2 linked regions of the Callithrix jacchus genome follow. The protein of the gene in region 2 interacts with the protein of the main gene of each other region in a biochemical or structural test. Links are inferred from orthologs where the notes say so. Each region holds a gene or a part of one and is shown on either strand. Other genes may lie near its edges.

Region 1 (4,315 bases), on a different chromosome or scaffold from region 2:
ACAGTCGCACCTGAACAGTTGCATTGATGACTGTATCCGGTCTACACAAGAGGCCATACCTGGGCATAAGAATGGACTGACAAAACCTAGCCAACACACCATTGACAAATACACATTTCTTTTGTTAATAATACCTGTGAAGCCTTTCACAACAGACATTTCCAGTTTTGTTTTCAGGCTCCTTGCAGCTGCTCCTCTAAAAGTCTCCTCTCTTCCCAGAGCTGACAATGACCAGAAGCAAGGTGTTCTGTCTTTTGTGCCATCATTTGGGATGTCAGCTCAGGTATCAGTTTTGTATCAACTCAGTATGGCTTGTGGGTCTGTTTGCCTTTGTTATTCATGCCAAGAGCCTCTGGGCATCAGTTCCGTGTGAGAGAACCCATTCCATGACCCTCCTTCTTTTGGCTGTTTTGACTCGATGGCTCTTGTTGGCATAGTCGGTGAATGTCTGATGCTCTATCCATGCCAGACCACCTGCTTTGCTGTCTCTGTGGTCTGAACTAGTTGTCTGAACTACTCTTTGATAATCTGAGATTACCTTGCTCTACCTTTCTTTTCAAGTCACATCTCAGCCCCTCAGCCACATTCCCGAAGAACATGACAAACGGATGGGTCACAAGTCACGTAGCATAGTGTGTCAGACCACCAGGTTTTGAAGGGATTCTGTTTGGGTGCCAAAAAGAAAGATTTTATGTCACCATGATTTTTTTTAATGGCCTGTTGACACTTAGGCCTTAATTGAAAGCATTCTTACTCAAGTAGAGTTGACAGAGGAGTATTTGGTAGTTGTGGTTGCTGGTCTGAAAAGCATGTGGCTCTGTTTCAATACTCAAAGAGATCTTCTCAGGGGAAAAAGTTCTGACATCTCAAACAAATGACCTTCATGCATAGTTTTGACACGATGCCCTATTAAGTATGTGTGTATGGTCGGTACCTTGTGGTAATAATTCAATACGGGGAACAGAGTAGCAACAAAGAAACATTAGGGTTATATTTAACCTCTGTGGAATTGGTGTGTAAACAAACTGCTTATCAGAAATGATCATATGGGGCTTTGTTTAAATAAATAAGAAACTGACACACAGGGTCTGTGGGATATCTCTGCCAAGCAGACCACCCTCACATTATAAGATACCACATCCATGTCTGACCCCATATGGAAAGAGGCATAGCAAGCCAGCACTGGTTCATATTCCGTCCACCACATAGTGGGTTTGTGATCTTAGGGAATCCACCACAATGCTCTGAAACTCTCAGTTTCCTCAGCTATAAATAGTGAATAATCAAATGATCTACCTCACCATTAATAAATGTTAGCTATTTTTAAATCAAGTTTAATACAAAGAGAAACATTTTATTTTTCCAGCTGCCCAGAGCATTTTCCAAAATCCTATCACCAACAAATACTATATTGTATTTATTATAGCAACTTTGTATAAATGGAGTCCCTGTCCTATGCTTAGATGAAATATGTTGGCATTTGAGTTTGCATGTCTTCTATAGGAATAAGTGTTTAGTGAAAATGGGTGGAGACAAACAGATGTTCTCACAGTCCTGTTATTCACAGTACCGCCAAATCGAATGTTTCCATATAGGTGCATTCTAATGGCTTAAATGATGCGGATATTTTCTGGCCAGCCATATGGATCTTTTGTCATCTAAGATGTTAATATTTTCCTTATATTTTATAGTAGTTCTGGAGGACCGCCAGTTTCTTGAATAGGGTCCACATGGCTCATTATGCACAGGGCCTGGAAACTGCCTTACGCATGCTGTTGAGATGAACAGTGACACTTCAGAAGAGCTGGGAGCTGGGGTAGAGCAGTGGCTAGGAGAACATATTCAATTATTTTTCCACTTGCATTAAGCTACAAGTAATGAGCACTTTCCTGTGCTTTACAGTAAGTAATTAAAAGAAATTATAAAGTTGGATGCAAAAATAACCCGAAGGACAACTGGATGTGTGGAGCCACCAGTTTTCTCCATGAGCACACAAGGTTAATCCTTGTTACTGCTCAGAATGCTGAGTTTCTACAGGAAGGGTTGCAGGTCCACACATGTTTTGGCGTCTACCCACACACTTCTGTATGGCATGACTGTGCATCCCAGAAGAAGGGCTGTGCTGTGTGCCTCCGCGTTTCAGTGGAATTTAACAAACCGATCCCTGAAAATGGTTTCATAAAGGTGAGTAACAGCTAATAGCCTTCTCTTGCTAATTTTATCTTTCCCCCAAGATTTCTTGATAATAATTTGAAAAGGAGTGTTATTCCTTGGTCTCTAGAGGCAACTTACCTTTCCAGTTTCTTCCCTCACCTGTTTTCAACTCTCTTGCTTTTTTAAATTTAATGTTCTATGTATTTCAGAAGATAGGATCTAACCTAGTGAGGTCCCTTCATCAGGTGATAATTATCTCATTTTCATTTTGGCCCTCTGAATTAATGGCATTGAAGCCTGGCAGTTTGATCCTAAGATGGGTTTAATTATGTACAGATACTCTTTCTATAATGGAAATTGCTCAGATAACTAATTAACCACAAGAATACACTGACTATGGAAAATTTCAGGAGCACCGTCTGTGGAAAAACTGGGAAGGGCATGCTGTCACCACAGCTCTGGGGTCTATTAAAAGTGTGGTTATGCAGCACTGGTGTCTAGTGGGGCGTTGGCTCTCAACTGTCAGAATTCCCATAGCATTTCATGGCAGAGAGTCAAGATGTCCAGCAATACTCTGAAAGCAACCTGTTGATTAAAGTTGTTAATTCTGAAGAAAGTGATTGAAATAAGACAAATGGGTCTTAACTTTCTTTCTCTTTCTCTCTTTTGTAAAAAAGTGTGATCATCCTGGCATGTGCCCAATCCTAACATAATGCCAACATCTTTTCTTAAAGGGGGATTCTGTTTATCCTTGGGTCTGACAGTTATTGCCTGTTCTCCCCTTAGGGACAATGAATGCAGTTGCATCACCCTTGCTTGCTTTTCTTTTTTTTTTCTTTTCTATTTTTTTTTGGTACAGAACATGCTTATTTTTGGATGTAGGGACTTGAAAGACAAAGCCCCACCTGGCTTTCACAACATCTCCTGTTAGTAGGTGTGCCTTGTATGTAATTTGAAGGAGGCAGTCCCTTAGCTGTGTTTACACTATACTTTTCATTGTGGGGCTGAAGGTGCAATCAACTATACTTGAGATGCTACCTGGGAAAACAGGGTTCTGTGTCATCTCAGCCCCACCCATTTGCAAATGATTTAACAGCAGCACTATTCGGGTTCCTAGTGCAAGTCATTTGCCTTTGGGCCCGTGAACTTGGTGACTTCGTGTATGGAAACAAACAATCTTTGCAGTCTTTTGTAAAAAGCCTAAACAGTGGACCAGTCTCCAGTTCTACTTGGCAAAGCTGCCCCCATCAAATCCCTCATAATGTTCAACTTAAAAATTTTTACTTTTCTCTGGAAATCTAACTTTTTTCCTTTTAAAAAAAACCATTTTAAGTACTTCAGTCTTGAATGAAATGATCCCAAATATTGGACACCAGCTAAAAAATTGAATTACCTTCTGGGAACCTTATTGAAGAAGAGAGATATTGTTTGGAGAGGGGGTTTCGATGCTTGATACTTATATTTACTGTTTTAAGATTTCATTGTTGTTGCTGCTGCTGCTTTATTCCGTAAGTTTTGTTTCTTTAAATTTCATGGTATTTGGTAGGAGAGATCTGGATCTGTTGGTTTCAGGACGAGTCTAGAAATAAGAAATCTGCCTTGAGTGGGTGAGTTGGTTCGCTCTGTTGCTATTTCACCATTTAGGACCAAAAGAACTCACAAGGACAAGAGACATCTGGCTAAAAGTAATACCAGTGTGACTGGACATCTACTACCTGCCATAATTGGTCATATCATTTCCAGTATGATGCTGATTGAGTGAATGATATTAGGCTATGTTCAGGGATCACAGAGGCTAATTGTGCTTATATTGCCTTATAGCATTGTGGTAAAAATTAATGATTATGTAGATGTCCACATTTAGGTTATCAATACTCTAAAAGTTCTCATTGAACCAATCATGTTTATAAGTAGCTTGTACTTTGTAACATAATAACAATAGTGGAAAAATTAGTTGACATAAAAAGAGTGCAGACTTTATTTAATACCATTACAAAAGCAAAGGCATTTTTCCACATAAATGTCCCCATAAAATAAATGGAACCAAAGAGGAAAGATGACAGGTAACCCCATGACATGCTAAGAAAGTATCCTAATACTTAAGTTGACTTTAACCTTTTATTTCCTTATCCTAAGCAGCTTCTTTTCTCTTTATCATTTA
Region 2 (4,102 bases):
TGCTCAGATGGCATTCAAAAACATTTTTCACTTCTCACGTCTTACTATGGTTGTTTTGGGAAAATTTTTAAATTCTTAAGTCTTTTTGTTTGAAAGTTAACGTGACTAGAAGTATTTTAATGTAAATATTGGGTTGCTGCGTTGTATCATTTTGCTGTACATTGTATACCCTCATTTGGTTTTATGGCCAGCGTATAGTTAAAAGTCATCTTTACTTTCTTTGAGTGTAACGATTTGCATATTTTGTAGCTTTCTATTTGCTACCTTTTCTACTCAACAATTTCTAACTTTCCAAAGGGACAGAGTCAGTTTAAGGATTCAGAACTGGTTTTACCTGTACTACGTGTTGTAGAAGTTATGTGTGCAGCTTCTGCAGTAAAGGGAACAGCGTAGGGCTTTTATTTTATTCATTGGAGGTGGATTGGGGTTCTAATTTAGAGGACATCACATACTGGAACCAAACTTGTGCGAAGCTCTCACTGCAGAGCTAAGGCATTCTTGTAAAGTACATGTGCATCTAGGAAATTATCATGTAAACGGTAGGCATTGGGTCATTTGCCCCCTTTTACCTGCCCCTAATGTCTAAGTTACATTCGAAGTACTGGAAAACCTGTAATTCCGCCTTTGGCCTACCTCCCCGCAGAAGAGGAAGGCGAAAGAGGCTAAACGTGTGGAAAGTCTATTCTTCAGGCTTGCAGGAGTCTCGGATGTCCTGTCGTCTGTCTCCGTAGGATGTGACCCACACCAGTTCGCATTCACCTTGGCAACAAGGGGGCTGCTTAGCCGACAATGGGCGCTCCAGTGAGCGGGGTTTATAAAAACCTGAAGCCCCGGTTCATGATGGAGCTCCTTTTTCCAGCTGAGCGAGCTCAGGGATTCCCCGGGGGAGATTTTCCAGGCTCTGCCTCACCGAAGGAATTTTAGGGGTGTCTCTGGGGAACAAGAGGGAAGTAACACAGCTCCAACTTGAGGGCGCTAGAGGTGCGGCGAGGGGTCGCGGCGCCAGGAGCCCGGGGCTCGGCGGGAAGGTGGGAAAAGCTCTTACGTGAACTCAGTCAGCCGGGCCCTGGAGACGCTGGGCGAGGCGGGGTTGACCTCAGCAGTCTCTGCCACGTTCCAGCCAATCAGTCCCGCATCTTGGCATCCGAATCCAGGACCCCCGAAGCCGGAGGCGACGCGAGCCAATGAGAAGTGGGCCGGGAAAGAGGGACAGGCGGCCAGCCTATGGGGCGGAGAGGCCCGGCCGCGCGTATCCAAGGAGCGCCGCGCTCGGCTCGGGGGTGTGGCGCGCGCCGGCGGGGGTAGGCGGGCGCGCCGGGCGGCAGGTGTCGGCGGCGTCGGCGGCGTCGGCTTTCGGCGGCGATGGAGCGACCCCGAGGAGCTGCGGCCGTCCTCCTGCGCTGGCCCCACGGCCTCGGCCTCTTTCTTCTCCTGCAGCTGCTGCCGCTTGCGACCTTCGGCCAGGACCGGCTGGACGCGCCGCCGCCGCCTGCTGCGCCGCTGCTGCGCTGGTCCGGCCCCATTGGGGTGAGCTGGGGGCTGCGGGCGGCGGCGGCCGGGGGCGCGTTTCCCCGCGGCGGCCGTTGGCGTCGCAGCGCGCCCGGCGAGGACGAGGAATGCGGCCGGGTCCGGGATTTCGTCGCCAAGCTGGCCAACAACACGCACCAGGTGAGCGGGCGCCGGGGCCGGGCGCCGCTCGGCTTCGAGGTGCCGCCAGTGCGCCCCTCCCGGCCCGCGCGCCTAGCTCGCCCCGCGACTCCCGAAGGAGACCCCGGCCCCACCGCGTCCGCGCCACCCCGGGCCGCAGCTCGGAAACTGCGGCGGGCAGGCGGGCGGAGTCGGGCCCGGGCGGCCGGCTGGGCTGTGTTTCGTCACAGGGGAGGCAATCTTAGACTTCCACCGCATTCTTCTTTTTTTTTTTTTTTTTTTTTTTTTTTTAAGTTGTCAAAATCTCTTGAGCGTCATTGTTTTCCGTCTGTATAAAAAATCAGGACCCAGTAAAGCTGTTAGGCCCCAGGAAGCTGGAGGAGTAATTAATTAACTCTTGAGCGGTTGCAGAAGTTGGGCTGCGCAGAAGCAAAGGTGTGTCCTCCCTGGGTCAGTACTTTCGGGGTGGAGAGGCGGGAGTTCAGGAGGCCAGAAGCAGCGGTCGGGTCACCGTGTGTGTTTTGATAGTTAAGGGGACTAGCTTGGAAATGAGATGGTAGTATTTATGTGATCTCTCTTACTCCTTCAGATTTGACCTTCTGTCGTGGTACGGAACCCTGACTAGTATGTCTACATCTGTGGTGATAAGATTTTCAATACTTAGGAAAGGAATTGCATACATTCTGCTTTGAGCCAGTTCTCCGTCAAAAGACTTTCAGAATTGTGGTATTTCTGTCCCTGGGGACAAGCAAGCTCAACCTTTGCACACTACTGGATTGACAAAACCAGTTATTAAGAAAGTCCTGGCTTCTTGCTTCTGCACAACTTGGGCATCTTCTTTTTCTCTATAATTAACAATTTAATTCTTGCTAGCTACATTTGCATAATGTATTTTCAATTCTATATATTTTCTTGCTTGCTTGTTTTCCTCTTTCACAGAGAATGAATTGCACTTGGGGGTAGGGATGGGTGGCCAAGGCTCTGTGCTTGCACTTGTCTTTCTGTAATCACATTTCAATATCAGCCAAGCCTCAGTTTCCCCTTGGACTGCCCAGTTATCTGGACCATACTTGTTACCTGTGATAGAATTCTCTGATCTGGGGACACAAGACACAAGTATTCAGGAATAACTGTGCTTAGTGCAGCTGGAGCAGCAGTTGTATAAAGGAGGCCAAGCTAGTGCTGAAGGGTGGGACAGATTGAGTAGAATGAGTACTGGGAAGTCTTCCTACTTGATGAGAAATTAAAAAAAAAATAATAGAATAGACTTCCTTCTCACAGTGGGGGGTTGAGAAAGGCTTTACAACACTGATGCTTAATTTATACTGGACCACTTCCTTCCCTGAGCCAGCTGGACACAGCATTCTTATTCCATATTTCAAATTCTTCTCTTGCTGGTTGACCTAACTTTAGGTCTGCAGCTACTCCTGGATTTAGATTTACTCCTTTTTTTTTTTTTTTTTTTTTTTTGGACAGGGTCTTACCTCAGCCTTCTGAGTAGCTGGGACTACAGGTGTGCACCACTATGCCTAGCTAATTTTTGTGTAATTACTACTTTTTTGAGATGAGGTCTCACTCTTTTGCCCAGGCTGGAATGCATTGGTGCGATCACATCTCACTGCAGCCCTGACCTCCTGGGTGCAAGTGATCCTCCCACGTCAGCCTCCCAGGTAGCTGGGACTACAGGCACATGCATCTAGCTAATTGTTCTTTTCTTTTTTCTTTTTTGGAGACAGGGTTTTGCCCAGTTGCCCAGGCTGGTCTTGAACTCCTGGGCTCAAGTGCTCCGCCCACCTTAGCCTTCCACAGAGCTGGGATTAGAGGCCTGAGCTACTATGCCCTGCCTCTGTTTATTCCTTGAGGCAGAGTCTTCCTGGTTAGTTTGAATTGATATGTCATTTGTAATATATTGATTGATTCCAAAGCAAGAGGTTGAGAAAACCAGCTCAGGGGTTCTAAGGCCAAATCTATGGATGAGCCAAACTAAAACCACTCCTTCTTTAAGAAATTTTCTTTTATTTCTTTCATTTAGCAGTTTCTAATGATTTTTTTTTTTTTTAGCTTTTCTCTCCCAGTGTTTTTTCAGTGACCTTATTTATAATAGCTATTTTGGCCAGGCACCATGGCTCACATTTGTAATCCCAGCACTGTGGGAGGTCAAGGCAGGTGGATCACTTGAGGTCAAGAGTTCGAGACTAGCCTGACTAACATGATGAAACCCTGTTTCTACTAAAAATACAAAAATTAACCAGGCTCAGTGTCATGCACCTGTAATCCCAGCTACTCCGGAGGCTGATGCATGAGGATCACTTGAACCCAGGAGGCAGAGGTTGCAGTGAGCCTAGATCACACCACTGCACTCCAGTCTGGGTGACAGAGCGAGACTCTGTCTCAAAAAAAAAAAAAATTGCCCTTGTTGATCATCTGTGGTCTCATCCTTTCTGTATCTGGTTTA

What was found. The genes of interacting proteins can lie anywhere in the genome.
Region 1: the proteins of SORT1 (region 2) and BDNF form a complex in vitro, tested with the Homo sapiens proteins (2 studies listed by BioGRID and IntAct, with this or other methods). The link is inferred for Callithrix jacchus from reciprocal best matches to the Homo sapiens genes SORT1 and BDNF.

What each region holds. Positions count from the first base shown.
Region 1 is NC_133511.1:93,064,281-93,068,595, reverse strand, and holds the start of BDNF (neurotrophic factor BDNF precursor form), read left to right. Parts: upstream 1-1,449; 5' UTR 1,450-1,959; coding exon 1,960-2,184; intron 2,185-4,315. UniProt on the Homo sapiens protein: Important signaling molecule that activates signaling cascades downstream of NTRK2. During development, promotes the survival and differentiation of selected neuronal populations of the peripheral and central nervous systems.
Region 2 is NC_133508.1:147,277,949-147,282,050, reverse strand, and holds the start of SORT1 (sortilin), read left to right. Parts: upstream 1-1,297; 5' UTR 1,298-1,362; coding exon 1,363-1,668; intron 1,669-1,973; exon of another isoform or gene 1,974-2,082; intron 2,083-4,102.